7 linked regions of the Coturnix japonica genome follow. Each later gene encodes a partner of the first gene's protein in a complex. Links are inferred from orthologs where the notes say so. Each region holds a gene or a part of one and is shown on either strand. Other genes may lie near its edges. The genes, in order: ARMC7, EFTUD2, SNIP1, SF3B5, spliceosome-associated protein CWC27 homolog, SNRPD1 and RBMX2.

Region 1 (3,945 bases):
CTGCTTTATGAAAGAAGCGAGCAGCGGAGCAGGCTACAGCTCCTAAACACTGAGTGCAGTTGGAGCGCGCCCAGCCGTCCGATGAAGGTTCCCGCAGCGCACAGCGGAGCCGCCTGGCCCCGCACTAAGGCCAGGCCGGCAGTTCCACCCGCTTGTGGCCGGAGGTTCCACTCGGGGCCGTGGTGCCGCCAGGGGCCGCTCGGCTTCATGCGGGGGTTGCGGGGTTCACCTCACGGTGCCTCGTCCTGGTGCGGCCGGAGCCGCAGTGATGTTATGAAGAATAACTATAAAGACAAACAGCCAGCTGTGGTGTAAGCTCACTATGGCGTGTTTTGAGCTGAGTGGAGGGGGAGAAAGCAGAACTCTGGAACTCGCAGCCTTTCAGAAGCACCGTGGTAAAGGGCCACCCCGTTCTATGCCTTTGGGCAGTTTGCCGCCCTGGCTCCAGGTTACCTTTTGCACGATTGGCTGATCATAAAAGGAGAGCAAAGTGGCTCCAACTCCCAGCCCACGTGCATTAGTGGGAGCAGCAGAGGCTGCGCTGCAAGAGCTGTACAGGAACATTTACGAGCTTACACAGAACTGTTTACACAACAGCTCCGTTAATGTTTTATTAAGAAAAGGCTTTTCTTGTGAACCTGAATGCCATAAACCCTTTTCCTACCTGCACCTTTCTCACCAGTGGTAATGAGGGAAATACAGCTTTCTGCTTCCTGACCTATGGGATAGCTATCACCTGTTCTAGGGCAGGATGATAAGACAGTATGTATAGTACCAAAGGTATGTAATAGGATTGCAAATTACCAGGGCAGGGAAACGCATTTCTTCTGCAGGAGGGATGAAGTTTGGGTCATTTCAAAGTCATCTGAGTTGACACTGGAAAGCTGTGGCAAAATCAGCCAGGAACTGGAAGTGATACAAGCTGAACAATAACCCGAGCAGAGAAAGTAACTGCTATAAGGGTTATACCTGTAAGCTGGTTCAGAGCTGCACAGCAGCCATCACCTTTTTTATTTAAAATATTTGCTTCCATTTTCAGCCACGTTCTTGGCCTGTTATAGTGCTGTATGGTCCTTTTCAATACTAACTAAAATCCAATGCTAGTCTGATTTCCTGCTTTACTGTTCTCATCACACTCTTGACCTACTCAGCATTAGGTGCAGACCTGAGCAAACAGGGGGTGCTCCTCGCAGCAGCTCCAAGCTGCTCTGACAGCTTCAATCCTTCGGGAGAGGAATCCCCACCGCTGTGTGTTTGCTCAGGTTCCTGGCCTCTTCCACCTGCAGGGGCGTGCAATAATCCTCCAGGAAGATCGTGGCCAGATTGCTCAGCCTTCTGCTGGCCGACAGGGAGAAGCGAAGCATGCATTCCACCACCGGGAGAGCTGTGGTCTGCTGGCACGACTGCGGCGTTGTCAGATACATCAGGGCTGTGACTGCTGACATGACTGTCTCTTCGTTGGAGCTGGAGAGGCAGTTTATTATGGGCTCTACCCCATTGGCCTCCAGGATATAGTCTTTGTTAGTTTTATCCAAGCACAGGTTGCAAAGACCACCTGAAATAGCGAAAAAAGCATCTGACACATGCAAGACAGATTCTTTCTGCAGCCTCATCCGGACACACTCCATGCTCTGAAGGGCACCTCATCTGGGAATGAATGGCAGCAGCTGGAGCACGTTCCGTCTGTTGGTACCAGCAGTTGGGCCCTGACCTGTGTGGTGCCGGCACTGAGTTGTCCGCAGACGGACACTCCATCTTTACTACTTTTCTTAAGGCAACATGCACAGACAGTTTCCCTGTGTGGTAAGGGGGCAATCGGTCTTCAAGGTACCAGGAATTAAATGATGGGTTTTTAATTGCCCTACGTTGCCTTTTATTTTCTCCTGTCCATCTCAGTGCAGTGATGGCATTTATGGCGCCGTGTGGCTGCAGCGTTTATTTTCATTTTCCCCGGTTTGTTACCTGTGTTTTAGAGAAACAGGGAAAGCATCGGGGCGCACCCAGCGCTGTGCTCACCCATAGCGAATTCCACCAGGGTCTCGTCGTCCTCCGTCAGCATGTCGAGGAACAGGTCCAGCACCTGGAGCTGCCGCAGATACTCGTAGTTCTTGGGGTCGTAGGCGAAGTTGGCCAGGTTGGCCAGCACCTGCCGCCTGGCCTCTGCCGGGGAAGCAACGCGTCAAACGGGGCAAGGGGGGCTGTGGTAGATGGAGATTTCGCTTTTGTACGCGGGGTTACCTGGGCTGTCTGTCACCTGGAACTCCGTGACGAGGGCCTGCAGGTACTCCAACCTGCCCAGCTCCATCCCGAGCTGAGAACCAGAACCAGCCGATCAGCTGGACCGCGCCGCCGGCACGGGGCACAACGGGGCGCTCCGGACACCGGCGGCCGCCATGTTGTGGGCGTTACTCCCCGGCCGCCATGTTGTGGGCGGTGCGGCTGCTGGCTGCGCTCCGCGTGCGGGGCGGGCTGTGGGCAGCTCATGTGCGTCAATAAGTGAAGGCACATATCACTGCTGCACTCTGTATCTGGCAAACACGTGTTTTTATCGTTTCCCCCCTTTGTTCTGCACAGTTCTTCACCTTTCCCTGCCACCTGGTTGCTTGCCCCCCAGGCCTCAGAATTTACACCCCCGCGTGTGCTTCTCGTGCCTGTAACTGTGTTAGTGCACTTGAAGCGACATCTGTCATTACTAATATGGACCAGAGCGGGGCTGGTGTGAGAAGGGCAGAGAAGAGAAAGCAAACAAGGAGAAGCAAACCGACAGAAGTGTTTGAGGACAGTGGGACTGAGCAATAAGGGGAGGAGCGCGTTGCATTGGAGGAGGAAAATGCAGCGCTGAGTTCCCAGGTACCGTGTGTGTGTGTGGGCAGTCAGTAGGATTTTGCAAGCACAAAACCAATGGGAACTTTGTCCCCTGCAGTGATTTCACTGCGAGCAGCGTTTAGGAACAGCCCGTGCTGGTCGGGTGGTGCATCCCCGAGAGCTGCACCCTGCGGGTCACACTGCAGCGCTGCTGCTCACCTCACTGCGAGCTGCGTGCTCTGCTGCTTCTAGATTCTATCTTGTTTTGAGTCTAATCCAGGCTGGTTAACGGATGTGAGGAACATTGTGCATTTAATTTGAGCTGTCCCATAGAGTTTGGTAACATTCCCAGGTCTGTGGTCTGCAGAGATGTTCTGTAAGGGCTGCAGGCTGTGCTCGTGCTGCTTACATGACTGAGTGCATCTGATCATCACCGTGTGCTGCAATGCTGCAGGAAGTTTTCCTGGTCGTACACAACCATCTCTTGGCAGCAGTGCTGGCTCAGGCTGTTTGTGCGGGTGATGTGGGCCATATTTTGTCCATGTTGCACAGGCTGCCTGAGCATAGCTGTGGTATTAACAGCCTTAGGGGTAGTCTAATGACAGTGGTGCCCATTGATATCTCAACAGAGTTAGAATTTGGTCAATTTCAGGTTCTGGTGGGTGTGTTTCTTTTCTTGCAGTTACTGACTGGGTCTGCAAATTTTGCCAAACTCTTCATTTGAGTGATTTTGCAGTTCTGAGGTGTTTTAGAGTACGTAAGTTTGCCGTGACCTTTTGGGTTTGTTTGTTGTTTGTTTTGTTTTTAATTAAAGTTTTCCAAGATTTACCCTGGCAGACTATCTGAGTCTTATAAGGTTCACAGTTTTGCAATATTTCAAATGAACTTCCTGGTGAATGTTTCATAGCAGTAGGAAAAGGTGCTTGTTGCAAAATATGTTTAGCTCGCAAAGTTAACGATACATTTAATGACAGAGGGAGCAGGAAAGAGTGTGAGGGGACTGGGTGAGGGTTATTTGTCTCCTGACATTTCCTGTTGCTCTGCTGGCTGTCAGAGGTTTGTAACCTGGCTGCAGCATTAGTGTTTGTCAGTCATTAAGTCCGGGGTTATTCCACTGTCTGTAGATGTTAAAACAGGTGG
Region 2 (4,417 bases), on another chromosome or scaffold:
CTCTAGAGGCCTCAGGTGTGATGCCAGCACGATGTCCCTGCAGGGAACAAGAGGACACAAGGTGAAACACACGGGTGATGGAATTGGCATTTCTACCCAACAGTTCCTGCAGCAGTCAGGGCCCAAGGACTGGCAGGACTCCTCTTTCTCCTGCGTTTTTCCTGGGGTACAAGTAAGATTTTATATCTTTGGGGCTTCCACAGGAGAACTCTTCCATTCTTATAGGCCTTCTTACTCAGCCATCCCATTACACCGACGTCTGTAACTAATTGCAGCAGCCTGGACTCAGCAGCTCATGTCATTCTTCTCATCCCGTGGGATGAACGTCTGTGCCTGTCGCTCGTTAGTCCTCCCAGTAACGAGATCTTCCAATGGGGTCAGGGCTCTGCTGGCCCTCGTGAGTGGGGAAACTGCACCCACGGAGAGAAGCTGTTCTGCTCTCCTGTGGATGGCTCCTGGCTGCTGATATCACACCACATTGCAGGCTTGAGTACTGAGTACTTGTGTACTGAGCAGGAATGTGTTTTTTGATCATATTCTAACAACAGAACTGCGGCACAGAGTCCTTTTACACGGACAAGCAATGCCATAAATGCCATTTTAAAGGTTTCCCTTTACTCAGAGCTGACAGCACGACCACATTAAGGCAGAATGAGGCTTCCAGCACTACATGCTCCAGCATGGGATGAGCCTGCCATGTGTTGGTCAAGTCCTGGATGTATCTACAGATCTCTCTGTGGATGTGAGGGGATGGGGCTGAGGTGGAGGACACTGGGGGCGTCCCGCACCACCTGCCCTCAAGGATCTTCCTGCTGCCATTCAGGAGCCCTGGGACATCCAAGGCAGGGCAGGCGATGGCTCCTGCCCCGGGGAGGCCCAGCAGCAGAGCAGGAGGAGCCCTGCGGGAAGGCCCAGCGTCTGACAGACCTGGGGGGCTCCGCTCCCACCTGAACTCCTGGTACGACCCCAGGCGCTGCCTCACGGCGCGGAGCTTGGCGTTATTCTCCCTCTCGTGCCTCTCGTCGGCCTCCAGCGCGGCCCGCAGCTCCTCCCGCAGCGCCGCCATGTCCACAGCTCCGCCCGCGTCCATCGGCTGTCGCGACAGTCACGACAGGAGCGCGACAAGCTGTGGGGATACGGATAAGGATAAGGATAAGGATAAGGATACGGATAAGGATACGGATAAGGATAAGGCTCCTGTTGTGACAGCGATACCCACTGAGGTATCACCTCAGCGGCAGCGTGGGCCCTGCTGCCATAATGGCTCGCAGCCGACCCCTCATGTCGCGATAGGCCGCCATGCCGACACACAGCACCCCGAGGGATTCCTGTCGCGATATCCCCCGCTGGGTCCCTCACTGGGCCGCTCACCCTCATTCCTATCGCGACAGGCCCCGCCCACGAGCCCCGCTGACCCGGCAGCCTCAATTCCTATCGCGACAGGGCCCAGCTCCGCCCGCCGCGCCCGCTACTCCCGTTGTCATGGAGACAGGGCCGCCTTCAGGACCCAACGAGGCTGCCCGCGGCGCGCCTGACTGAACCGCGCCGGCAGCAGCGCCGCTGTCGAACCGCCCGGGACAGGCGCCATGGGCAGCCCGGGTCCTTCCGCTGCGCTGTCGGCGGCGCCAACGGCGGAGAGTGAGCGGGGAACGTGAGGGTGAGTGAGTGGGGGGGTGTGGGGCGGGATATGGGGCAGGGGTATGGGGTATGGGGTATGGGGTATGGGGTATGGGGTATGGGGTAAGGGGAGGGAATAGGGGGTGAGGCCAAGAAATCAGGGCTAAGGGCTGGAGCCGGGGCCTGGGCCTTGGGGCTTAGGGCTTAGGACCGGGGACAGGTTCTGTGAGGCATGTTCTGGTATTGAGACCGGTTCTGTCCGTGGGGCCGGTTCTGTCCGTGGGGCCGGTTCTGTCCGTGGGGCCGGGTCTGTCCGTGGGGCCGGGTCTGTCCGTGGGGCCGGGTCTGGCTGTGAGGCAGGTTCTGGATGTGGGACCCATTCTGGATATGGGGCCGGTTTGGGCTCTGGGACTGAGGCTGGATCTGGATCTTGGTCAGGTTCTGGGGCTGGGATTGAGGCTGGGTTGTAGTTCCAGGGGTTCTCCCGGCTCTGACCCCATCTCTTCACCCCCAGCATGGATACTGACCTGTATGATGAGTTTGGGAACTACATCGGGCCAGAGCTGGACTCTGATGACGAGGATGATGAGTTGGGCCGGGAGTCCAAGGACCTGGATGAGGTGAGTGCGTGGCTGTGGCAGGGCTGTTCTGTGCTGTGCAGCCACACACAGCAGGTGTTAAGCATGTCCTGCCCCGTGCCTGGCTCCCATTGCAGGGAAGGCTCTGCAGGATGGAGCGTGCCCTTTGTGCTGTCAGTTCCCTGTTCCTCCTGATGTGTGACACCAAGATTTACCTCCAGCCACAGTTCAGGCTTATGAAACACTTTGGTGCTGGCAGCAGCTCAGTGTGAGTGTTGGTTGCAGCTCGAGGATGACGACGATGATGATGATATGGGGGACCACGATGAGGACCACCCTGGGATGGAGGTGGTGCTGCATGAGGACAAGAAGTATTACCCCACTGCTGAGGAGGTCTATGGGCCTGAAGTGGAGACCATAGTGCAGGAGGAGGACACGCAGCCTCTCACTGGTGAGTGGGGTTTAAATCATCTCATTTGGTCCCCCCATAGGAAGAGAATCTGTCAATTCAAAGCTGTGTTTTTTGTCTGCGGAAAATCCCCATTCGATGTTTGGAGGTGCTGGGTTCAGGTCACCCATAACAGTGTTTTATTGTTCTTTCTTTTGTTTTCAGAGCCTATTATTAAACCTGTGAAAACCAAGAAGTTCTCTTTGATGGAACAGACGTTACCAGTCACTGTCTATGAGATGGAGTAAGTGATGTGCAGAGTTTGAAGCTTTGTTTCAGGCCATCTGTGCTGCAATTTCCTCACTTCTCATTGCTTACAGGCAGGGTGGGGAGGCAGAGGGGTGATCTATATGGAGGCGGGAGCTTACAGGGGGGCACTGGGTTTGTTCTTACTAACAGCAGCAATATAAGCAAGTACAGCTGGCTCCCTGAGTCTGAACCAAAAAGAAGAGGAAGAAAAGCACAAGGCCAGCTATTTTACAGCTATTTTGCCATCCTCGTAGGCAACACGGTGCATTTCCTATTATTTTTCTGATCCCTTTGTCCTCTGTTTACTCCATCAGTAATTAATTCTAACTCCTGCTCTTCCTTGATGTCAATGGTTTGGATGGGACCACGCAGAAGTCCCAGTGGGACTTAACCAGAAACCTGCAAGCTCGCTATTGATTTCACATTTAGCCTTGGTTTAAGACCAATAGGCAAGCATTTAATTTGTATTCCTATCGATTTCTGTGTTTTTTAAGCTCTTAATCAAAATGTTGTATGCTAAAAAGCCTGCTTCATAAGTGAAAATTAAAGTGTTTTTGAAGAAGGAGATTATTTGACCGGACTTACTATCCGCAGATCCATAATAATCGATCCTTGGCTGATAGCTTCCCATTATTTTGAAGAGTAGCTGCTAATTTAGGCTCTCAGTTCCATTTTGGCTGGGATCTCTGCAGAAGTGACCAGCCCATCAGTCCCATCTCGTTGGTGATTAAAAACCATTTAAGTTCTATGACTGTTCCTTGGGTCCCTGGGAACATCAGTGTTTTAAGACCTGAAAACCAGAATTAAGACCTGCAAGTTAGAATTAATAGTCTGTGGAACCCTGTGGTTACCTTTTAAAAGTGTGTGGGGTGTTGTTATCCACCTCTGTGGTTTGGTTGACTACCTGCCACCATTGGAGCGGAAGCGTTTCCTCCTCCGAGTTGCTCTAATACTGTCTAGAAGAGAAGAAAGGCGTTCGGAGTATTTAATCTCTTGCAGTTTTACCAACTCCGTCTCCTCCCACCCACTGCCATCTGTCCAGGACTCCAACTCTCTTGTCCTCCCCATCTGCAGAGTGGGATTCTTCCTCCGCAGGGCATGAAAGTTTGGAGAGGATTCAGAGGGGCCCTTGGGTGCAAAGCGGCGCCTACTTTTCTTAGACACAGCAGAAGCCTCCAACAGTCTTTTGTGCTTCATCCCTCCAGTTTCCTGGCAGATCTGATGGACAACTCCGAGCTGATTCGGAATGTGACTCTGTGTGGGCACCTTCACCACGGCAAGGTAGTGTGAATATCCCACGTGCGTTGGGTAGCAGTAACGATCTCCCTGTTCCTTACTTTGACTGCTGCTCTTTTGACCCCCCAATCCCTGCAGCAGCCTTCTCTCCTGCTCCTGTTGCTCTGCAGTTATTCCTGGCTTTTCTCTCCGTCATGTGGAAGTATTTCTGTACCCCCTTTTTCTATGCGCCCCGTGGGAGGGCTGGGATTATGCTGCTGTTTATCTCTTTGAACAAAGTCCCATCTCT
Region 3 (4,446 bases), on another chromosome or scaffold:
ACCATAAGAACCAGTCAGCAACAGAAGGACTTTAAGGCAATAAGAAGCACCAGTGCTTTGATGCTCCAACATCTCCATCCCAATGCATGTTTTATTGTAAAAGATTCCTCTCCCCTGCTCCCCCATCCCCAATTGCCTTCATGTCTGTTAACTATCGGACTCTTCCTCCTTCTCCTCTTCCTCATCATCGTCCTTTGCGTTGGCCTCTGATTTATCAGATGATTCATGGAGAAGGACGTACTCCCTGCTGCTGAAGCCAAACTTCAATACATCCTTTTCTTTCAGTTCGTAGTAACGTTGAGGCTCAATCCTCTGGTTGTTTAGAAAAGTACCATTGCCAGAACCAAGATCAATGATATACGGCTTTACCCTGCGGCCAACTGTGCCATCAGCGCGTGTGTGCTCCACAAGCCTAGAAAACAAAAACAACCCATCAAGTCAATGATAACACATGGATTTTTCAACACATCAGCCCCACTGTTGTAAATACTTAACCATACTTCAAAGATCTGAGCAAGTACAATGAGAATAATTAGACAGGGCACGGAAATACTCAAGATTCTGACAGACTGCTTCACCCCTTAAAGTTATGATCATATAACATAGTAAATCCTGAAGCAGAACAGATGGTTGTTCCTTAAGAGAGCAGCTCTGCCTCCTGAAGCACACAACCCTGCTGTTTATAAAGGAGATCGGCAGCCTTTGTTGGGAAGGAACAAATGAAAAACCCTCCTTTAAACGTTCTTTATTGCCAATCCCACCTGCTAATAACTCCAATTCAGATATACAGGCAGTTCTGTATTTCATCCTGTTGTGTTGTGTTTCTTACTAAAAGTCTAGATATGGTTAAACCAAAAGGAATTATATATATGTTAAGAGTCACGAGGCTGCTTATGGTTAAACAAAAAGGAATTACATATATGTTACATCCATACCTAAATTCCACCTATCTAAAACCATTGAGCAAACATGCATTTTCTAATCTGTGCACATCCAATACGTTCTTTGATTCCCTTTGCACGCAAGCGACCAAATAATCCCCACCTACCAGAGGGATACAGAGCGATACTGACCGGTATTGGAACACAGCGTGTTGCTTTGAGCAGGAGGGATGATCAATGGGGATATCTGCTATCCTGCGGTGCCTGCCCAGGAGATAAGCACTCTGCCTATGAATGTACATGACAGGCAGGAACTCATCGTTTTTAAATGGATAGAGACGCCATCGTTTCTTTGGAATCCGAGCTTCTGGGGGCTCACTGTATTTAATCACAACGCCTCGGAAAGTGTTGGTATCCTCCAGAAGGGCACCAGACAGTTCAAAGCTTGGTTTTTCTTTGTTTACAGCTTTATCTTTTGGTTTGTTATCAGATTGTTTGTGTTCTGGATTCTGCTCAGCACCGCTCCCCTCGTTGTTCTGTCGATGCTCTCGTCTTCTTTCGTTATAGAACTCCCTCTCTGCTTGTTGCTCACGGATGTTCTGAACATCTCTTTCTCTCTCATGGCCTCGACCTCCAGGTCTTTCCTCCTTTTTCCTCCTGTCTGAGTGATCTCTGTGCCTGTCTCTGTCACCGCTTCTATCTCGTCTGTGTTCTTGCTCTGACGTGTGTCTCTGCTTTCTCTCTTCATTTCCTCTGTGAGGATGATCGTCTCGTTCCTGAGGAAGAAGACAGAAAACACATGAAAAACACAGACTGTAACATGGTACGTGTATATCTAGATTTATTTATTTCCTTCCAAAGTGAATTCCCACAACTTGGGCCCAACAATGCAAGGCTGACAGAGAGCAATGCATCATAACATCAGCCTTCAGGGTCAGCCTGCAGGCTGGGCTCACTTAAAGGCACAAATACTCATTTTCTTACAGGAATAACAGGGGCTGGGCTCACTAAAAGGTACAAACACTCAGTTCTTTCCAGGAAAACACGAAGCAGAGAGCAAGGAGATGTTACACTGTAAGACTCTCTCTTCCTTAAGAGTTATTCTAGAGGGATCAGGGGGCTGGAGCACCTCCCCTATGAGGACAGGCTGAGGGAGTTGGGTTTGTTCAGCCTAGAGAAGAGAAGGTTGCGGGGTGACCTCATTGCAGCCTTTCAATACCTGAAGGGAACTTACTCCCAGGAGGGGAGTAAACTCTTGGAAAGGGCTGACAATAGCAGGACACGGGGAAATGGTTTTAAGTTAAAAGAGGGAAGATTTGGGTTGGATGTTAGGGGGAAGTTCTTCACTAGGAGAGTGGTTAGGCCCTGAAACAGGCTGCACAGGGAGGTTGTGGATGCCCCGTCCTTGGAGGTGTTCAAGGCCAGGTTGGACGGGGCCATGGGCAACATGATCTATGGGGTGTCTTTGGGGATCTATGGGTTGTCTGTGGGGCTCTATGGGGTCTGCATGGGGTCTGTATGGGGTTCAGTGGGTCTCTATGGGGCTCTATGGGGTGTCTATGGGATCTCTGTGGGGATCTGTGGGGTCTCTATGGGGATCTGTGGGGCCTGGCCTCTCCCAACGCCATTTACCTGCTTTACCCTCACACCTCCATGGTGCGGACTCCTGCTCCTCCTCCCCCGCGGTGATTTGCTCCTCCGGCCGGATTTACTCTTCCTTTTAGGCGACCTTTAAATCAAGTACACAAGAAATGCACAGAACCTCAGGGTTACGATACAGGGCCGTAATAAGGCCCTATGAGGCCTCCTACCTGCTGCTCCTGCCCCGTCGCTCCTCAATGGGGGGGGATTGGCTCCCATAAGCCGAACGGGACCCGCAGCTCCGTGGGCTGCGCTTCTCGGCCTTCACCGCCATCTCCCCCCTCCTTCTCTCCCTCCTCCTCCTCTCACTCTCAGCCTCCATCTTGCTACCGACTCCCCCCACAACCGGAATTACGTTTTCACATCCGTGTTACCTCTCTCTCAACCACCCGGAACTACATCTTTACCTAACGCTCATGCGCCTTTAGAACAAACAACGGAGCGGCGTTTATAACCATAGCGACCGAGGAGCCGCCATGATCCCACCGCCCGATTCGCTGCTGCGTTATAACCCGCCCATGCTGGTGAGTCGCCGTACTGAGAAGCGATCACCAGAGGTGAGTGAATATGAACCGATATTATGGCCCATGAAGGCCAAAGGAATCCTATATTGTATCAAAACCAGTGTTACTAGCAGCAACAGGGAGGTAATTGTCCCCCTGTGTTCAGTTTTGGGCACCTCACTGCAAGAAAGACATTGAGAATACATTCAGAAAAGGGTTATGAAGCTGGTGAGGGGTCTGGAGCATAATGGGGACTTATAAGAAGAAGCTGAGGGAGATGGGGTTGTTCAGCCTGAAGAAGAGGCTCAGGGGAGACCTTATAGCCCTCTATAACTCCCTTAGTTAGAAGTTAGAAGGGAGGTTGTAGTGAGCCTCTAATCCATGATAGAAGTAGAGGGAATGGTTTTAAGCTGTGTCAGGGGAGAGTCACGCTGGATATTAGGAAGTATTGCTTCTCAGGAAGGGTAGTCAGGCATTATAATGCACTGCCCAAAGAGGTGGTGGAGTCACTGACCATGGGAGTGTTCAAGAAACATCTGGATGTTGTGTTGATGAATATGATTTAGCTGGGAAGTATTGGGAATGGTTGGACTAGATGATCTTCTAGGTCACAGAATGACCCGGGTTGGAAGGGACCTCAAGGATCATGTAGTTCCAACCCCCCTGCCAAGCAGGGCCACCAAACATACACATTTACTAGATCAGGTTGCCCAGGAGACCCCATAGAGACCCCATAGATCCCCCATAGATCCCCATAGATCCCCATAGAGACCCCATAGATCCTCATAGAGACCCCATAGACCCCCATAGAGACCCCATAGATCCCCATAGAGACCCCATAGATCAGGTTGCCCATGGCCCCGTCCAACCTGGCCTTGTACACCTCCAAGGACGGGGCATCCACAACCTCCCTGGGCAGCCTGTTCCAGGGCCTCACCACTCTCCTAGTGAAGTCTTTTCCAACCTTGATAATTCTGTGTTTCTGTGATTCTGAATGGGACGGGGGGAGCCCTCACACCTCACCCATCCTGCTCACACCGCTTTCTCCCTTCAGGCCTCACCGTTGAAGGGAACCCCACAGGCCTCCCCGCCATCAGGCCCTGTCCCTCCGTCCCGACCTCGCACTGCTGCCGCCTCCGCCGCCTCCACGAAGGAACCTCAGGAGATCCTGAACGCCATCCTACCGCCGCGGTGAGCCGGGGAGGGGGGAACAACAAGAGCCTTAACTCAGGACCGCCCCGCCGAGCTCCATCGCTGCTGCTTTCCGGTGCAGGTCATGGGAGGAGGATAACCGGCTGTGGGTGCAGGAGGTGTCCAGTGTTCCCAGCACCCGGCTGGACGTCGTGCAGCTGCAGGAGCAGCTGGATCTGAAGCTGCAACAGCGGCAGGCGAGGGAGACCGGCATCTGTCCTGTGAGAAGG
Region 4 (2,529 bases), on another chromosome or scaffold:
TACACGTTCTACTCCAACCTACAAAGATGGGATAGCTGGCAGAACAAGAACAAGTGAAATTCCTTCGTGACAAACACAGTGCACATCTGCATCGGAAACAAGTTATTTCTCTCACACTTCACTTTATCTGAGATTAAACTACATAAATTTAGGAAAATGAGATGGAGATCACAGTGGAAAGCCAAATTTCTCAGCCAAAACTCAGACTTCTCCCTGAAAGCAGCCTTGCTCATATAATAGAGATGGCCTGGAGGAAGGAGGCGTTCAGCTCTGCCCATGTGCCTTACACTTGTTGCTCACATTGTTTACAATGGCTTGCAAACAGCACTAGTCCCCACATATGTAGCAGGTTACATTTGATTCAGGATCATTTCATCTTTGCCCTCATTGTAGTACATGCAACAACAAAATCTATTCCTGAGTTCTTCAGATGGATATTATGGCTTGAATGTGACCTCAGGAGTGCATGCACTTGTTCTTACTGCAGCATCTTCAGCAGCTTAGATTATAAGGCTTGGTAAAGAGTATGAGGCGTTTATTGCTCAGAAATTCTGAGGTCACCAACTTCAAAAAAGCCACTGGTAAACTCACATACAACCTTAGCCAGGCTTTACTTTGACATTTTCCATTAGGAATAAAACTTCCCCCAAACATCCAACCTAAATCTTCCCTCTTTTAACTTAAAACCATTTCCCCGTGTCCTGCTATTGTTGATTACCACACAACACGTTAGAAACAGACAGCGGATTTTATTTCCCATTAAAAAAAAACCACAAAGGGCGAACAGCCGTGCAACTGAGCGTAACGAAAGTGTCCAAGAGAGGGCGTTACACAGAGCTTCCTTCTCCCTGCAGCTCCCTTCGGTGGACACGAGGATCGGGGCGGCTCCCACCATCTCCCCGCGGCGTGTGGAGTCACAGCCAGCCCGGAGCCGGTGTGCAGGGCAACGGGTTAGGATTCGTCGGGCTTGTCGGCGGGCGGCCCGCACGGCTGCAGCATCTTCTCCATCAGGTTGAAGCGGACGCGAGCCTTGCTCTCATTCTCGGCGATGGCGAAGTAGTTGAGCAGGTCGAAGTGGCCCATGTAGGAGCAGTACGAGTCGCGGTGCTGGTTGACCAGCCACTCCCACTTGGTGGTATCGGCGTGGCCCGTCCCGATGTACTTGGACTGGAGGTGCTCCAACTGGCTGTGGATGGTGTAGCGGTCCGTCATGGCGCTGCCCCTGCAAGTCAAATGGCGGCAGGAAATGACGCCACAGGACGAAGGGATCCTTTTCCGCTCCCATAACGGAGAGCGGGGGGGATTTCGCCGACTATCCCGGATGAGGGGGGGGGGGGGGAAGAATATGCGGGTTTATAAAGGCATGTCGGGGGGTGTAGTCCTAGATTGGACATGTTGGACCATGGAGGTGTCCAAGAGCCAATTGAACGTGGCACTGAGGGACATAGTGATACAGCAGGGATGGGCTGATGGATGGACTTGACCTTAGTGGTCTTTTCCAACCTTAATGATTCTGTGGGCAAAGGCAAACTTTGCAGCTGGGCAGGCACAAGGGCTATGTTTAAGCTAGGATCAAATGTTACCATTGGAAATTATTTTTCTTTTGTTGATGTGGGTAATATTTCATGTGGATATTAAACTCATGAGCAGATAGAAAACTTATAATTAGTATCACCTATCAAACTTGGTCAACGTTGGGACTGAAATACATTCTATGATTCATCAAATAAGTAGTCTTTCTTGATCATAGAATAATCAGATATAAAACTTGTAAATTATAATTTGTATCACCTATCAAACTTGGTCAAAGTTGGGAATGAAATACATTCTATTATTCATCAAATAAGCAGTTTTTCTTCTCTAGTTTTAAAATCCATGTTAAATTTAATAAGTGTGGAACAATACATGCTGTCACATGGGAGTGCTGACTTTAATTATTTGCTTTTAAATAGGAAAGACACGTAGCCAGCAATTTTCTGAGAGGATGCTTCAAGCTATTTCTTTGTAAATGCTGTATAGTCCAAAGAAACCCACGGAAATCTAATCCAGATGATTCAAGGCCGCTTCTTCATAAATGAGCATCTTATGAAGCCAAGGCCATGCAAAGCAGTGTCAAAACAATAAAACAATATAATACCCTAAACTATCTATCTTCTAAGCAACAATCAGTCAAAGCCGAGTTTGAAACTGTCTGGAATTCAGGAGCCGGTCGAGAGTGAAGTGGCCGCTGGGTGTCAGAGCTGTACCGACTCCGTACTCATTGCACGGGAGCTGTGGGTTTCTGCTGCAAGATCAAAAGGAACAGAGTAGATGAGGCAGATGCACCAATAGAGGGTGGTAGTGACTGTCCCCTTCAAGGTATAGCCGTGTTTTCACGTTTCCTGTAGGCTCTTTGAATGAAAAAGACATAGCTGCCCCTCCAAAAAGGGGAAAGGATTACTTTAAACGATAACTGCAATAAAAGCCCACACAGGTGATGAAATGAAGGGTGTCATTTATATATATATATATACATATATATATATTTAA
Region 5 (3,410 bases), on another chromosome or scaffold:
TCCCCCTGATATTTAACCAGACATGCCTCTCCAAGATAAGTAGGGTGGATCAAACCCTTTGTGTCATACCTCATCCGTTTCCTCTGTCACACACACTTGTACAATAGTGGCAGGTGAAGTCCCAAGAGAATACTATCAATTGCCCCTGCTATACTTAAAAAAAGGCCACTACTCTAAACAATGAAACTTGATAACCGGCTGATTATCTCATCAAAGGCAATGTTACTAGCACCTTCTTTGTATCAAACAACCTAGGCTTTTAATTTACATGCCACAGGATGCCTGGTCATTTGGAAAACAACAGATTCTAGAAACTGGTGTAACCTGTAGTACTACACAGTACTCCCAGGGTTACCACTCTCAATCACTAAGAATGTATCCAATAAATCTCACTTAAAAGTCAAGATACTCCATTTGGCTATAATACTACTACAATAACCACAAACACAACTCGCACAACTTGCACAGGAAGAGACAGCAGCTCACAGACTGCTTACACAATTATCTATGAAATGTGAAGAAGTATAATGCAAGCACTCCTAATAGTATGCTCAAGCTTTATGTCAACCTCATACTGAGATCCTGCAACTACATGTTACACAAGTTTGGATCTAGTAGCCATTCCTGCAAAACCCAACAAGTAGTTAAGCAGATTGGTTGGCAGGCCATTGAACACATGCAAATCTTAGAATCATTAAGGTTGGAAAGAACACTAAGATCATCTAGTCCAACCATCAGCTCATGCCTGTGATCACTCTAGACCATGTCCCTCAGTGCAACATCTACCTTTTTCCTGAGAACCTCCTGGGATGGTGACTCACCTGTTCTCCTGGGCAGCCTGTTACATCACCACTTCTTCAGAAAATAAATTTTACATAATACCCACCCTGAACCTCACCTGGTATAACTTAAAGCCATTATTTCTCATCCTATCACAAGTTCCCTGAGAAAAGTGGCCAAATGCCACTTCGCCACAGTTCCAGATAGTTGTAGTGAGTTGTAAGGTCCCCCCTAAGACTCCTCTTCCACAAACTAATTCCAGTTTTCTCAGTTGCTCCTCATAAAACCCATGCTTTAAACACCTCACCAGCTTTGTTGCCATTCTCTGGACACGCTCCAAGGTCTTAATGTCTTTCCTGTAGAGAGGGGTGCAAAACTGAACACTGTATCCATGATGTATGGCAACGTCAATGCTGTATAGAGCACATGCAGAACACAATGTCTTTTGCTATTGTAAAGATGTTTGGCTTCCATGTACTTAACAACCCTTTTTCAGAAAAAAGCTTTCCTTGGATATCTCCTTTATTTCTGACCCCTCCTTTCCATCCTACAATAAGGATATTTAACACTGATCTTTTTTTGTCTGGTCCAGAGGTTTTCTCTCCCTCTTTTACCAATAACTAGATTCAAGTCTAAACTATCAAATGAAGCTTAGAACTGAGAAACCAACAGGCAGTTTCATCTTTTATGGTTGAGGGAGGCTGATAAATTTGATGCAGTACTAAAAAAAAAAAAGCAGTAAGTGCAAAACTGGAATTGAACAGCAAATAACTGTAAGGTGAAGGAGAAAAATAATGCATGATACTTACCTGCGACTGGTGGTTTTCTTTTCCATCTTAGTCTCTTGCTCTTGAAGGGGAGGTTTAACAGTTTCACTTGTATCAATTTTCAACTTTTTTGCAATGCGTTCTTTCATTTGAAATCTCTCATTGCTAGCAGCTTCACCTTCTACGCTGTCAACATCTTCATCATTTTCATCTTCCTCCTTTATTGATAGGATATGAAAAAAATTCCTTAGGTTTTTTTTCTGCTTTTTAACTACAGAGTTTTGAATATGGAAACAACAACTCACAAAAACAATCCTTTACCACAACAGACAAAGAAACTAACAAGCAAAATCCACAATTATTACAATTACTTCAAAGAAAAATTTCAAGAATGTTTTTGTATCACTTAAAAAATAAAATGAAAACAGTCAGACTTTAAGCCCTTAAAGGTATGCAGAAGGTCTCATGACAATATGTTAATAGTTTTATTATTGTTCATGGAGCCAAAAGCTGTTCAAGGCAATATACTAAACACTTAATTAATCTTCCCTTAAAAGAAAACCAGAAACTCAGAAAGCCAACTGTATCTTAGGCTGCATCAACATAAGGGTGGCCAGATAGAAGAGGGAGGTGACTGTCCCCCTTTCACTCTGCCCTCATGACATCCCACCTGCCATAGGCACAGATACAGATTGGGCAGAAAACAGCTTGAAAGCAGCTCTCTGGAAAAGGACTTGTGGGTGTTGGTTGATGAAATACTCAACATGAGCCAGAAATGTGCTCTTGCAGCCTGTTATGGTTTTGTAATTTTTGCTATTGGGATTCCACATCATGTGGCACACAGAGAAGAACTAGAAGAACTACACGTCCCAGAGGACCTCAAGGTCAGAGAGGGAAACGTCACAGAAGGGACACAGGCTCTCTCCCTCACTGACTGGCAGTGGATGTGGGCATGCTTCCAAGCCGTGGAGCCTTCAATCTCAAAGTAGGCTCCTCGTTCTTTGGAAAACTCTCTTTGTCTCTTATTTTACTTAATTTATTAGCCAGAATTTCAATTGGATTGTATTATATTGTGTTATCTTGCTTTCCAATATCACAGTAAAATAAGTTTTCCTCCTTAGATCATTGCTGATGCTCCATCTATTTCCTTGAGCCAAGCACCCATCTCCCTACCCCTTTCCCTTTTCACTTCCAATTTTTCAGGGGCCAGGGGTCCCACGGGACTGCAGCCCCCCCGCCATGGACATAGATTGATCTAGATAACTCCATGACAAGCCCAGAAGGCCAATGGTATCCTGCACTACGTCAAGAGAACAGGGACCAGCAGGTCGAGGGAGGTGATTCTGCCCCTCTGCTCTTGTGAGATCCCACCTGAAGTACTGTGTCCAGTTCTGAGGTCCCCAACACAAGGACATGGAGCTGTTGGAGTGGGTCCAGAGGAAGGCCACAAAGATCATCAGAAGGCTGAAGCACCTCCTTTCTAAGGACAGCTGAGGGAGTTTGGAGCTCTTCAGCCTGGAGTAGAGAAGGCCCTGAGGAAACATTATAACAGCCTTCCAGCTCCTGAAGTGGTCCTAAGGGAAAGCTGGAAAGGGATTTTTTATAAGGCATGTAGTGACAGGATGGAGGGAAATGGCTTCAAACAGGAAGAAGGCAGATTTGGACTAGATATTAAGAAGCGACTCTTTACTGTAAGGGTAGTAAGACACTGGAACAGCTGCCCAGACAAATTGTGAACACCCCCTCCCTGAAAGCATTTAAAGCCAGGCTGGATGGGGCTCTGAGCAGCCTGTTCTAGAGGGAGGTGTCCCTGCCTATAGCAGGAAGTTAGAATGAGATGACCTTAAAGGCCCTGTCCAAGCC
Region 6 (4,207 bases), on another chromosome or scaffold:
CCAAATAATTAAGCATAAATTACAGGAGAAATGGCAAGCAGTTGCTTTAGAGCACGATTACCTTTAACTTATTTCTGGAAAGACACACTGATTAACACTGCTGGGCAAAACTTTTACTGCCTGAAGACACAAACTTTGTGGAGTTTACTGGATATTAATTGTTAACGGCGCAGAACAAAACCAGAAGCATTCCCTATTCTGTTAGGCTTTAAGGGCTTTATCCACAGGAACACAGCCTCAGCTCCCTCTGCATTCTGAAGCCCCTTCAATTCGGTTCTCCAGCAGATTGTTTGTATCCACTGCCAAGTGAGATTTCAGTCCAGCACCGCTCCTGAGGCTGCTCTATATTTTCTTATTAGGCTAAATACAAAGTTACACACAGAAACCAGGGAAACAGAGCAGACATTTTGAAAAGAGAAACTGTGCATCCCATTGGTGCTGCCTCTGAGAATGCCATAGGTTAAGATTTACTCACACTTAAAGACGTTTACACTTTAAAACAGATGCATGAGAAGCTGTGTAAATAACTTCTCATGAAAGGAGACTACAGACACAATGAAGGTACACAAGGCAGAGTTCGGTACAAACCCTCAGAGATGAAAGCAATACAGAAATTAAGATTTCCAATCACATGCCTTCAGAGCGAGAGCACGAAAACACAAAGTAAAACAAGCAGAGACTGGGAAATCATGCACTCACCTGCTTCTCTTTTCTTGGACTTGACTTTTGGTTCAACATCTACTAGCAAGGTGTCCAGGGGCAAACTGTCTGGTAGGATGAAGTATCGGATGTTATTCCCCCGAATGCTCAATGTCTCCAGCTGTACAGGCTCCCTGTTCTTCAGCGTCATTTTCACAGCCTTGAGATGAGTATTCATACTGACATCCACTCCTGAAATAACACAAGGCTGATTTCAGGGGTGGGAACACACAGGATGACTCCTCTTTGGCTATTATTAACTGTGCACGTGCTTCAAGACTTTGCTAACACACGCTTCTGGATCTGTGCCATTTGTTAATTAAGCCTCTTAAGTGGAAGAAGAAACTACATCTTTTTTTCCTCTATTAATTATGCTGATTTATCAGCTGCTGCCCTCAACACTGATATATTTCCAAAGGAAGAGCCACTTACCACCAGCTGTAGGGATCTGTTCCTAGGTCTTAAGTCATAGCAACACTAAACACTTAAAATGATTCCTCCGGACAACAAATAAACTGCCACTTACTACAAAAGCATAATATTTGTCTTTTTTACTCCTTTCAAAAGAAAGAAAACGAACTTTTGAGTAGAAAAATAACACTGCGTTTCCTTCTAAGTACAACCATGATCTTCTGATCAAACACATCTAACATCAGCATCAGAAGCACCAACTGCAGGTGGCACCGTGGCTGCAACAGGCTTCGTACACCCATGTACAGGGATGACTGTCATTTTAGAACCATGGATGGCACTGCAGGGTTTTACAGGTTCTTAGCACAGCATGAGAGAGACTTTGCTCAACAGCGAAGGCTGTGAGAGTACAAGGGTAGGAGGCACAGAGTGCTGCCACCACAGCCAGCTTCTAACAAAATGGACGGATCTGGCTGCAAAATAACGTGCTTTTAACCCTTACATCTCAGTAGATTGTAACCATGTTCAGCATTTACCATTTATCTGTGCTACCGTTAGAAAAATATCTCTCTGCCAGTGACTCAGTGGTGACTTCTTGATGCAACTACAGTGTACTGCAGCTTTACCAATGAGATCACAGAACGGTTTAAGTTGGAAGGGACCTTCAAGTTCCAGCCCCAAAATGTTCTGAAACATAAGTGGATAGGCTGTATGACCACTGCCCTTTGATACAGCAGTGACACTGTCTCACAATGCCTGCATGCTGCTGCAGTAATTTCAGATTACCACACTTACACCAGCCACGCCAGCACCGGTTTCCTTTACCCCACACAGCTCAGATCAGCCTGGGAGGCTGCTGGCACACCGTACCTGTGATGGTGCCATGCACCTGCGTCCCGTTCTTCAGCTCGATGGTCACAGTCTCGTGACTCAGCTTCATCAGAAACCTAGGAATTAAGCACAGAGTGTTTGCTGTCACACTAAGCCTTATGTCCAACCACATGCTGATACGGGGAACCGATCGATGTACATCCTAACGCAAACGTTCTCAGCTGCCATGAACTGCACTGAAGGTGCTCCATGGGGCAAAGCCAAAGCCCCAAACGGCGCCCAATTGCCAGGGGCTGGAAACGGTGGCACCGGGCTCAAGCAGCGTCGGGACAACGCTTCCAGTCACAGGGTTTGTGTTTTGAGCGCCCTGCGTGAGTTGGGTTCGGGATCCCTCGTGCATCCCGTCCAACTCGGGCTGCTCTCTGACCACCAGCTAAGCAGCAGCCATTTTGGATCTCGGCACCGCGTGAAGGCGCTTCCACCCGGCTCCGCCCCCAACCCCCCGGGGTGGTTTCCCGGGCAGCCCCGCTCGCAGGCCCAGCCGCTCGCCGCAGAGCCCAGGCCGCAACGAGGCCCCGACAGGCCGGGCGGCCTGTGTGTGGGGAGGGGGAGGCGGCCTGCGCGGGCTCCCCGCCGCCTCTCTCCGCGATCCGCCTCCATCCGCTCACCTGACGAGCTTCATTGCGCCGGCGGGACGGCGCGGCGGCCGCGGGGCTTTCGGCGGGCAGCGGCGGCCGCCCCTGGGGGCACGAAAAGGCCTCGGCGGAAGCGCCGCGAGCGCGGGCGGACAGGAACGCGGCCTCCAACGAGCGCACCGAGCCCCGAGAGATTGAGCGGCCGCCGCCGGCTGCGATCAATGGGCGGAAGCGGCGCGGCGGAAGGGGCGGGACGCAGCGCGACTGCGCGGGGCTGAGGGCGGGCGGGCACTGAGGGGATGCGCTGCCGCCATTTTGGAATGGTGGGCTCGGGATTATACGTATCTAAGCACTGTAGCTGTGTGCAAATAGTCTAGTCCGCACCAGCGATGCTTCTACGTTAAGCAGTTGATAAGGAGCTCAGGCACACAAACGCAGCGGCCAGGATCTAGAAAAATCAGACCTTTTATTATCATTGATGAGTACACTGTTGTGATTTCTGCAATACAGACTCTTTTTGTAAAGCACTGAGATCTGGCTGCCCTCCAGCTCTGAGAACCCACGTTAACCCACGTCTCTCCCTCCATCCCTACACACACACCACAGCTCTTCTTTTCCACATGAAATCTGTTATTTTATGTTTTGCTTTAAACAAACCGCAAAGAACCAAGTTTGAGAGGGCAGCTGCCCGAGAGCCGTAAGAACCATTACATACTGAGTTTATGGTGTTCCTGCACTTTGAGTCTATGACAGAGGTGACACTGGTAAATGAAGTCAGAGAGGAGTTTCCAGTTAACCACCAATTGGTATTCCCAGCACAGCATCGAGAAGCAGACAGAGGCATGGTGAGTACTGATGTTTATGTGCAGGTTATGCTCACATAGAACCAGAAGCCTCCAGCAACATTCAAGGTTAAAATGAACAGATAACTGCAAAAGTCTGTACACAGTTTCAGTCACAACACAGTGAAACACTGGAGTATCAGTGCTTTGTGTTCTAACCTCAGTAACAACAACTGTGCTAGCTCTAAGATTCTACACGTTTCTCCCCCCATTTACATTTTATAACTGCAATCTGAATATACAGCTGTACTTACAGGAAATATTAAACAATGTGCAGCGCCTTAAGCAAGTTTCACGGCTGGTTTTGAACAAACCATATAAAATAAGTGACAAAATAGTTTAAAATTGGTCCTCAAGTAGGATTACTTGTTTTTTATACAGCTTGGAAGCACTAAATTTAAAGACACACATTTATTGTTAACCAGCACATGTTATTTTGTAGCTTTTTAAAGAAAAAAACCTTTCCTTTTAAAGTGTGTTACATCATGCATGAAAAGCAAGAAGCTGCTCCCAAGTGCAACATGGCATTAGGGTGACACCTCCTCCTCTGATCCATACTCCTTTTTTTTGTGAGTTATTCCAACAACATCAAGAACAGAAGCAGCTGACTAGCAAAAACAATACCAAATTCACCTTTGCATTGCAACCATTCTTAAAGTGATGGAGAACTTTGGGCCTTTAGCATAAGGAAGGTTTGATAAACCCTGCAAGGAGTTTTACATTCTTTGATTTCATTTACATCCATTGAAAGAAAAGAAAAAAAAACCCAAACCTGTATTTTCAAGAGCT
Region 7 (4,164 bases), on another chromosome or scaffold:
CTTGACCCACAGGACTCTTTCAGAGCCACCTCTTGGTTAATGAGTTGGCTTTACCTTCACAGCTGCCCTGCTGAAGCTGGCCCAGCGTAGCAGCTTCCCTCGCTGGCTCTTCTATCACTTGAGTTTTGAAGTTGGAATCTCACGCTTTAAGCTGTGCTGTGTTGCCCCTCCAGCATACACTGGAATGGCTGAAGGCCTCCAGAAGGGCCTAAGCCTGCAAACATGAGACTCCCATCTGTCTGCAGAGGGCACCTTCCATTTACTCTCCCTGATCAGGCTGGAGCTGCACACTGCCCTGTCTCCATGGCTCTCGGCTCTTTAATCCTTATTGTTTGCCTGGTTCCTCCCCCAGACAGAGCTCCATGCAGGAACGCCGCTCTCTTTGCCCTGCCTCCTTTGTGGATACAGAGCATCATTTCAGTGTCCTCATACAGCACAGCATTAGGTGGGTTGGTGTGTTAGTCTGTTCTGACACGAGCAGTGCTGTGTGCAGTTTGACAGGGATGATGGCTGGGTACACCAACATGGGGCAGGTAAGTCACCGGGCTGGGGCCTTTCACCCCTGTAGCACAGCAATGAGCAGAGCAGCAGCACAGCATCCTGCAGCAGCAATGGCTGCTCACGCCGTGTTGTGCCCCATAGGTGCAGGTGTGGGACACGGCCGGGCAGGAGCGGTTCCGGAAGAGCATGGTGGAGCACTACTACCGCAACGTGCACGCCGTGGTCTTCGTGTACGACGTCACCAAGATGGCGTCCTTCACCAACCTCAAGATGTGGATCGAGGAGTGCAACGTTCACGCCGTGTCCCCCCTGGTCCCCAAAGTGCTGGTGGGGAACAAGTGTGACTTGAAGGACCTGATCCAGGTGCCGTCCGGCATGGCTCTCAAATTCGCCGACGCTCACAACATGCTGTTGTTCGAAACCTCGGCCAAGGACCCTAAAGAGAGCCAGAACGTGGAGTCCATCTTCATGTGCCTGGCCTGCCGGCTCAAGGCGCAGAAGTCGCTGCTCTATCGCGACATGGAGAAGCGGCCGGGCCGGGCGCAGAAGCTAGAGCCGTCACGTGACGCCCACGGTAAAAGCGCGTGTCCGTGCTGAGCGCCGACCAATAAAGCTGTGCGGAGCCCTCGGACTCGTTGCTTTGCTTGGCGCGCATGCGCGGCCGGGGCGGGGGCGGAGGCGGGGGGGTAAGGGGGGCGCATGCGCAGTGCGCGCCGCCGCCGCCATGAAGTAGGTTTGGATGGGGGCTGGGTGAGGGGGGGGTGTGCGACCGGCCGGTGCTAACGGTGCTAACGGAGTGCATCGCCCCCAGCCCGCTGACCAAAGTGAAGCTGATCAACGAGCTGAACGCGCGGGAGGCGGAGCTGGGCGTGAGCGAGGCGGTGTCGTGGCACGCCGAGTACAAGGACAGCGCGTGGGTCTTCATCGGTACGTGTAGGCCGCGATGGGGGGACGGGGAGGGAGGAGAGAGCAGGGCTGTGGTAGGCCCTGTGCTGGGCTCCGTGCTGGGCTCCATGCTGGGCTCCGTGCTGGGCTCCGTGCTGGGCCTCCATCGCTGCCCTGTCTCCCCCCGCAGGCGGGCTGCCCTACCAGCTGACAGAGGGGGACGTCATCTGTGTGTTCTCGCAGTAAGTTCCTACCTGCTCCATCCCCATCTTGCTGTGCCCCTCCAGCCCTGCTCTGTGGCTGCTGATGGTGTGTTCCAGGTACGGGGAGGTGGTGAACATTAATCTGGTGCGGGATAAGAAGACTGGGAAGTCCAAAGGGTTTTGCTTTTTGTGCTATGAGGATCAGAGGAGCACCGTGCTTGCTGTTGATAACTTCAATGGGATCAAGGTGAGTGATGGAGCTGTGTGGCTGCAGCAGCTCCTGGAGCGCTCAGAGCACATCAGAGAGAAGCTCCATCGGCTGCTGGCCCCACAGCACACGCTTTGCTGACTACCTGACTCCTGTCCTAGATCAAAGGCAGGACGATCCGAGTGGACCACGTGGCCAACTACCGGACTCCCAAGGACTCCGATGATTTAGATGATGTCACAAAAGCCCTCCATGCAAAGGGCTGCGGAGTGAAAACACCACCTCATACGTCGTCAGATTCCTCCTTGGAGGATGAAGACACGCCAGCCCAAAAGCAAAAAGGTGAAATGCATTTCTGCCCATCTTTGCCCTGGGTGGGAGGATCTGTGTGGGCTACAGGGACTCTTAGCTCAGCGTACAGCAGGGATAGGGATCCTCTTGAAAACAGATGCAACCCGAATGTCCAGGCTTATCCTCTGTGATCTGCGTCACACTGCCAGTATTTATCTATGATCATTCACCCCCTGCCTCTGGAGATCCTTATTTTGCAGGTTATAGTGGCACTCTTCCTGGAGAAAAGGAGTTGGGCTGGGCTGCAGGGATGTTGCAAGGGGGAGGGGGCAGGACAGTGGGGGACAGGGAGAAGAAAGGCTCCAATAAAGCCTTTCTCTACAGAGCTCTGGTGCTCTGTAGCAGAACTGGTGGGGATGATGCTTGCAGGACTGTCCATCTCTAAGGATGACCTTTTTGTTTCAGATAAAGAGAAGAATAAACATGAACGGCAAAAGCAGAGCTCTCAGGCTGCAAAGAGAGCAGCACCTGCCGAAGAGGCACATCCGAGAATCAAGATTAAAAAGGAGAAGGAAGATCCTGGCTACGAGCGATATGCTGCTGGTGGGGGTCAGCAGTCCTGCAGTGAGTCTGAGAGGAAACACGTGAGCAGGACGCAGCGAGATGAGGAAGAGCAGAGACACCAAAGGTCGTCGGGGAGGAGAGGGGAAAAGAGCTCCCAGGAACACAGAGGGCAGAACAGCTCACGGGAAGAGAGAGGAGAGGTCAGCAGGAAGGGTGAGGGACACAGCAGCTGGCGAGAAGAGTGTTCTGAGGGAAGCAGATCCAGGCACCGGCGGGAGAGCAGCAGCAGAGAGCCCCATTCCAAGCACAGGGAGCGTGGATCCACCAGAGATTCCAGCCGTCACTGAGCCCTGGAGTGAGCACCTTCTGGGCCACAGCTGTGCTCTGTGAGCTGCACCGGGAGCCTGTCTGAAGCCTCCTGCTATGGCCCTAAGGGTACCACAGCTGTGTCTCGTCTCACACACACCACTCTGACCGGTTCACTCCTCAGACAGGTTGCTCTCAGTGCTGTGGGCTGTGATGTGGGCTCTGCTGCTGCCTTGCTCGGCCCTTCTGTGCAGTGGCATCACTCAGACGGTTGTGGAGGGGCTCACGGCACAGTGTGGGCAGTGGGGTGCTGAGCAGCAGGATACGGACACCGAAACTGCCCACGTTGTTCAGGGGGAGCGTCCCTGTCTGCAGTGGGGCGGTGGGTGCTTGCAGGCGGGCACGGTGCTTTGTGCCCCCAGCCCGTCCTGCTTCCTTTGTTTATGTGATGGATATCAGAGGCTGCTGAGCCATCGCAGTTCATGGCGTTTTTTGTTTTAAACTCCTTTTAATAAAAATCGATCCTTTAACCAGAGGAGATGACTGGGAGCACTGCTTGTGTCCGGTTGTGCTGTTTGGACTGAGCATTGATGGCAGCTGACACAGAAATGGGGAGCGCACAGCAGTGGATCTGAGCTGCGCTTTGCTCTCGGGGTGGTTCCGGTCGGTCCCGTGCCTGCAGCGCTCTCCCGTCTCCTCCCCGCCGTTCTCGGGCGGTGCCGCTGGATCCCAATTGCGGGCCGAGCTGCCGGGTCCGCCCGGCTGGGGGGCGCAGTGCTTCCCGTTCCGCCGCGCTTCCGGTTCCGGGTGGAGTTGAGGCAGTGTCCGGCCCGGCGCGGCGGCGCGCCCCGCCATGCCATGTCCGCGCTGAACTGGAAACCCTTCGTGTACGGCGGGCTCGCCTCCATCGTGGCCGAGTTCGGTGAGCTGCGGCGGGTACCGGCGGGTACCGGCGGGTATCGGCGGGTACCGGCGGGTACCGGCGGGTATCGGCGGGTATCGGCGGGTACCGGCGGGTACCGGCGGGTATCGGCGGGTATCGGCGGGTACCGGCGGGTACCGGCGGGTATCGGCGGGTATCGGCGGGTACCGGCGGGTACCGGCGGGTATCGGCGGGGCGCTGACGGCCGGTCTCCCCGCAGGCACGTTCCCCGTGGACCTGACGAAGACGCGGCTGCAGGTGCAGGGCCAGAGCGGCGATGCGCG

The links.
Region 2: ARMC7 (region 1) and EFTUD2 share a complex: the UniProt entries of both Homo sapiens proteins name them as parts of the minor spliceosome. The link is inferred for Coturnix japonica from reciprocal best matches to the Homo sapiens genes ARMC7 and EFTUD2.
Region 3: ARMC7 (region 1) and SNIP1 share a complex: the UniProt entries of both Homo sapiens proteins name them as parts of the minor spliceosome. The link is inferred for Coturnix japonica from reciprocal best matches to the Homo sapiens genes ARMC7 and SNIP1.
Region 4: ARMC7 (region 1) and SF3B5 share a complex: the UniProt entries of both Homo sapiens proteins name them as parts of the minor spliceosome. The link is inferred for Coturnix japonica from reciprocal best matches to the Homo sapiens genes ARMC7 and SF3B5.
Region 5: ARMC7 (region 1) and spliceosome-associated protein CWC27 homolog share a complex: the UniProt entries of both Homo sapiens proteins name them as parts of the minor spliceosome. The link is inferred for Coturnix japonica from reciprocal best matches to the Homo sapiens genes ARMC7 and CWC27.
Region 6: ARMC7 (region 1) and SNRPD1 share a complex: the UniProt entries of both Homo sapiens proteins name them as parts of the minor spliceosome. The link is inferred for Coturnix japonica from reciprocal best matches to the Homo sapiens genes ARMC7 and SNRPD1.
Region 7: ARMC7 (region 1) and RBMX2 share a complex: the UniProt entries of both Homo sapiens proteins name them as parts of the minor spliceosome. The link is inferred for Coturnix japonica from reciprocal best matches to the Homo sapiens genes ARMC7 and RBMX2.

The regions. Positions count from the first base shown.
Region 1 is NC_029533.1:9,330,538-9,334,482, reverse strand, and holds ARMC7 (armadillo repeat-containing protein 7), read right to left. Parts: upstream 2,429-3,945; 5' UTR 2,306-2,428; coding exon 2,239-2,305; intron 2,161-2,238; coding exon 2,017-2,160; intron 1,556-2,016; coding exon 1,218-1,555; 3' UTR 586-1,217; downstream 1-585. UniProt on the Homo sapiens protein: As a component of the minor spliceosome, involved in the splicing of U12-type introns in pre-mRNAs.
Region 2 is NC_029542.1:776,052-780,468, reverse strand, and holds the start of EFTUD2 (116 kDa U5 small nuclear ribonucleoprotein component), read left to right. Parts: upstream 1-1,519; 5' UTR 1,520-1,657; intron 1,658-2,131; 5' UTR 2,132-2,132; coding exon 2,133-2,237; intron 2,238-2,480; coding exon 2,481-2,646; intron 2,647-2,808; coding exon 2,809-2,887; intron 2,888-4,097; coding exon 4,098-4,173; intron 4,174-4,417. Other genes in the region: CCDC103 (coiled-coil domain-containing protein 103), read right to left, coding at 1-37, 948-1,090. UniProt on the Homo sapiens protein: Required for pre-mRNA splicing as component of the spliceosome, including pre-catalytic, catalytic and post-catalytic spliceosomal complexes. Component of the U5 snRNP and the U4/U6-U5 tri-snRNP complex, a building block of the spliceosome.
Region 3 is NC_029538.1:3,338,240-3,342,685, reverse strand, and holds the start of SNIP1 (smad nuclear-interacting protein 1), read right to left. Parts: upstream 2,869-4,446; 5' UTR 2,845-2,868; coding exon 2,693-2,844; intron 2,611-2,692; coding exon 2,514-2,610; intron 1,658-2,513; coding exon 1,074-1,657; intron 413-1,073; coding exon 148-412; 3' UTR 1-147. Other genes in the region: DNALI1 (axonemal dynein light intermediate polypeptide 1), read left to right, coding at 2,999-3,079, 4,080-4,216, 4,299-4,446. UniProt on the Homo sapiens protein: Required for pre-mRNA splicing as component of the spliceosome. As a component of the minor spliceosome, involved in the splicing of U12-type introns in pre-mRNAs. Down-regulates NF-kappa-B signaling by competing with RELA for CREBBP/EP300 binding.
Region 4 is NC_029518.1:41,251,475-41,254,003, forward strand, and holds SF3B5 (splicing factor 3B subunit 5), read right to left. Parts: upstream 1,266-2,529; 5' UTR 1,213-1,265; coding exon 952-1,212; 3' UTR 730-951; downstream 1-729. UniProt on the Homo sapiens protein: Component of the 17S U2 SnRNP complex of the spliceosome, a large ribonucleoprotein complex that removes introns from transcribed pre-mRNAs.
Region 5 is NC_029547.1:21,428,627-21,432,036, reverse strand, and holds the end of spliceosome-associated protein CWC27 homolog, read right to left. Parts: intron 1,766-3,410; coding exon 1,590-1,765; intron 1,137-1,589; coding exon 872-1,136; 3' UTR 727-871; downstream 1-726. UniProt on the Homo sapiens protein: As part of the spliceosome, plays a role in pre-mRNA splicing. Probable inactive PPIase with no peptidyl-prolyl cis-trans isomerase activity. As a component of the minor spliceosome, involved in the splicing of U12-type introns in pre-mRNAs.
Region 6 is NC_029517.1:39,382,146-39,386,352, forward strand, and holds the start of SNRPD1 (small nuclear ribonucleoprotein Sm D1), read right to left. Parts: upstream 2,801-4,207; 5' UTR 2,624-2,800; coding exon 2,610-2,623; intron 2,058-2,609; coding exon 1,981-2,057; intron 892-1,980; coding exon 700-891; intron 1-699. UniProt on the Homo sapiens protein: Plays a role in pre-mRNA splicing as a core component of the spliceosomal U1, U2, U4 and U5 small nuclear ribonucleoproteins (snRNPs), the building blocks of the spliceosome.
Region 7 is NC_029519.1:1,522,157-1,526,320, reverse strand, and holds RBMX2 (RNA-binding motif protein, X-linked 2), read left to right. Parts: upstream 1-1,176; 5' UTR 1,177-1,225; coding exon 1,226-1,230; intron 1,231-1,312; coding exon 1,313-1,428; intron 1,429-1,576; coding exon 1,577-1,628; intron 1,629-1,706; coding exon 1,707-1,836; intron 1,837-1,958; coding exon 1,959-2,139; intron 2,140-2,553; coding exon 2,554-2,999; 3' UTR 3,000-3,507; downstream 3,508-4,164. Other genes in the region: RAB33A (ras-related protein Rab-33A), read left to right, coding at 643-1,098; SLC25A14 (brain mitochondrial carrier protein 1), read left to right, coding at 3,817-3,880, 4,101-4,164. UniProt on the Homo sapiens protein: Involved in pre-mRNA splicing as component of the activated spliceosome. As a component of the minor spliceosome, involved in the splicing of U12-type introns in pre-mRNAs.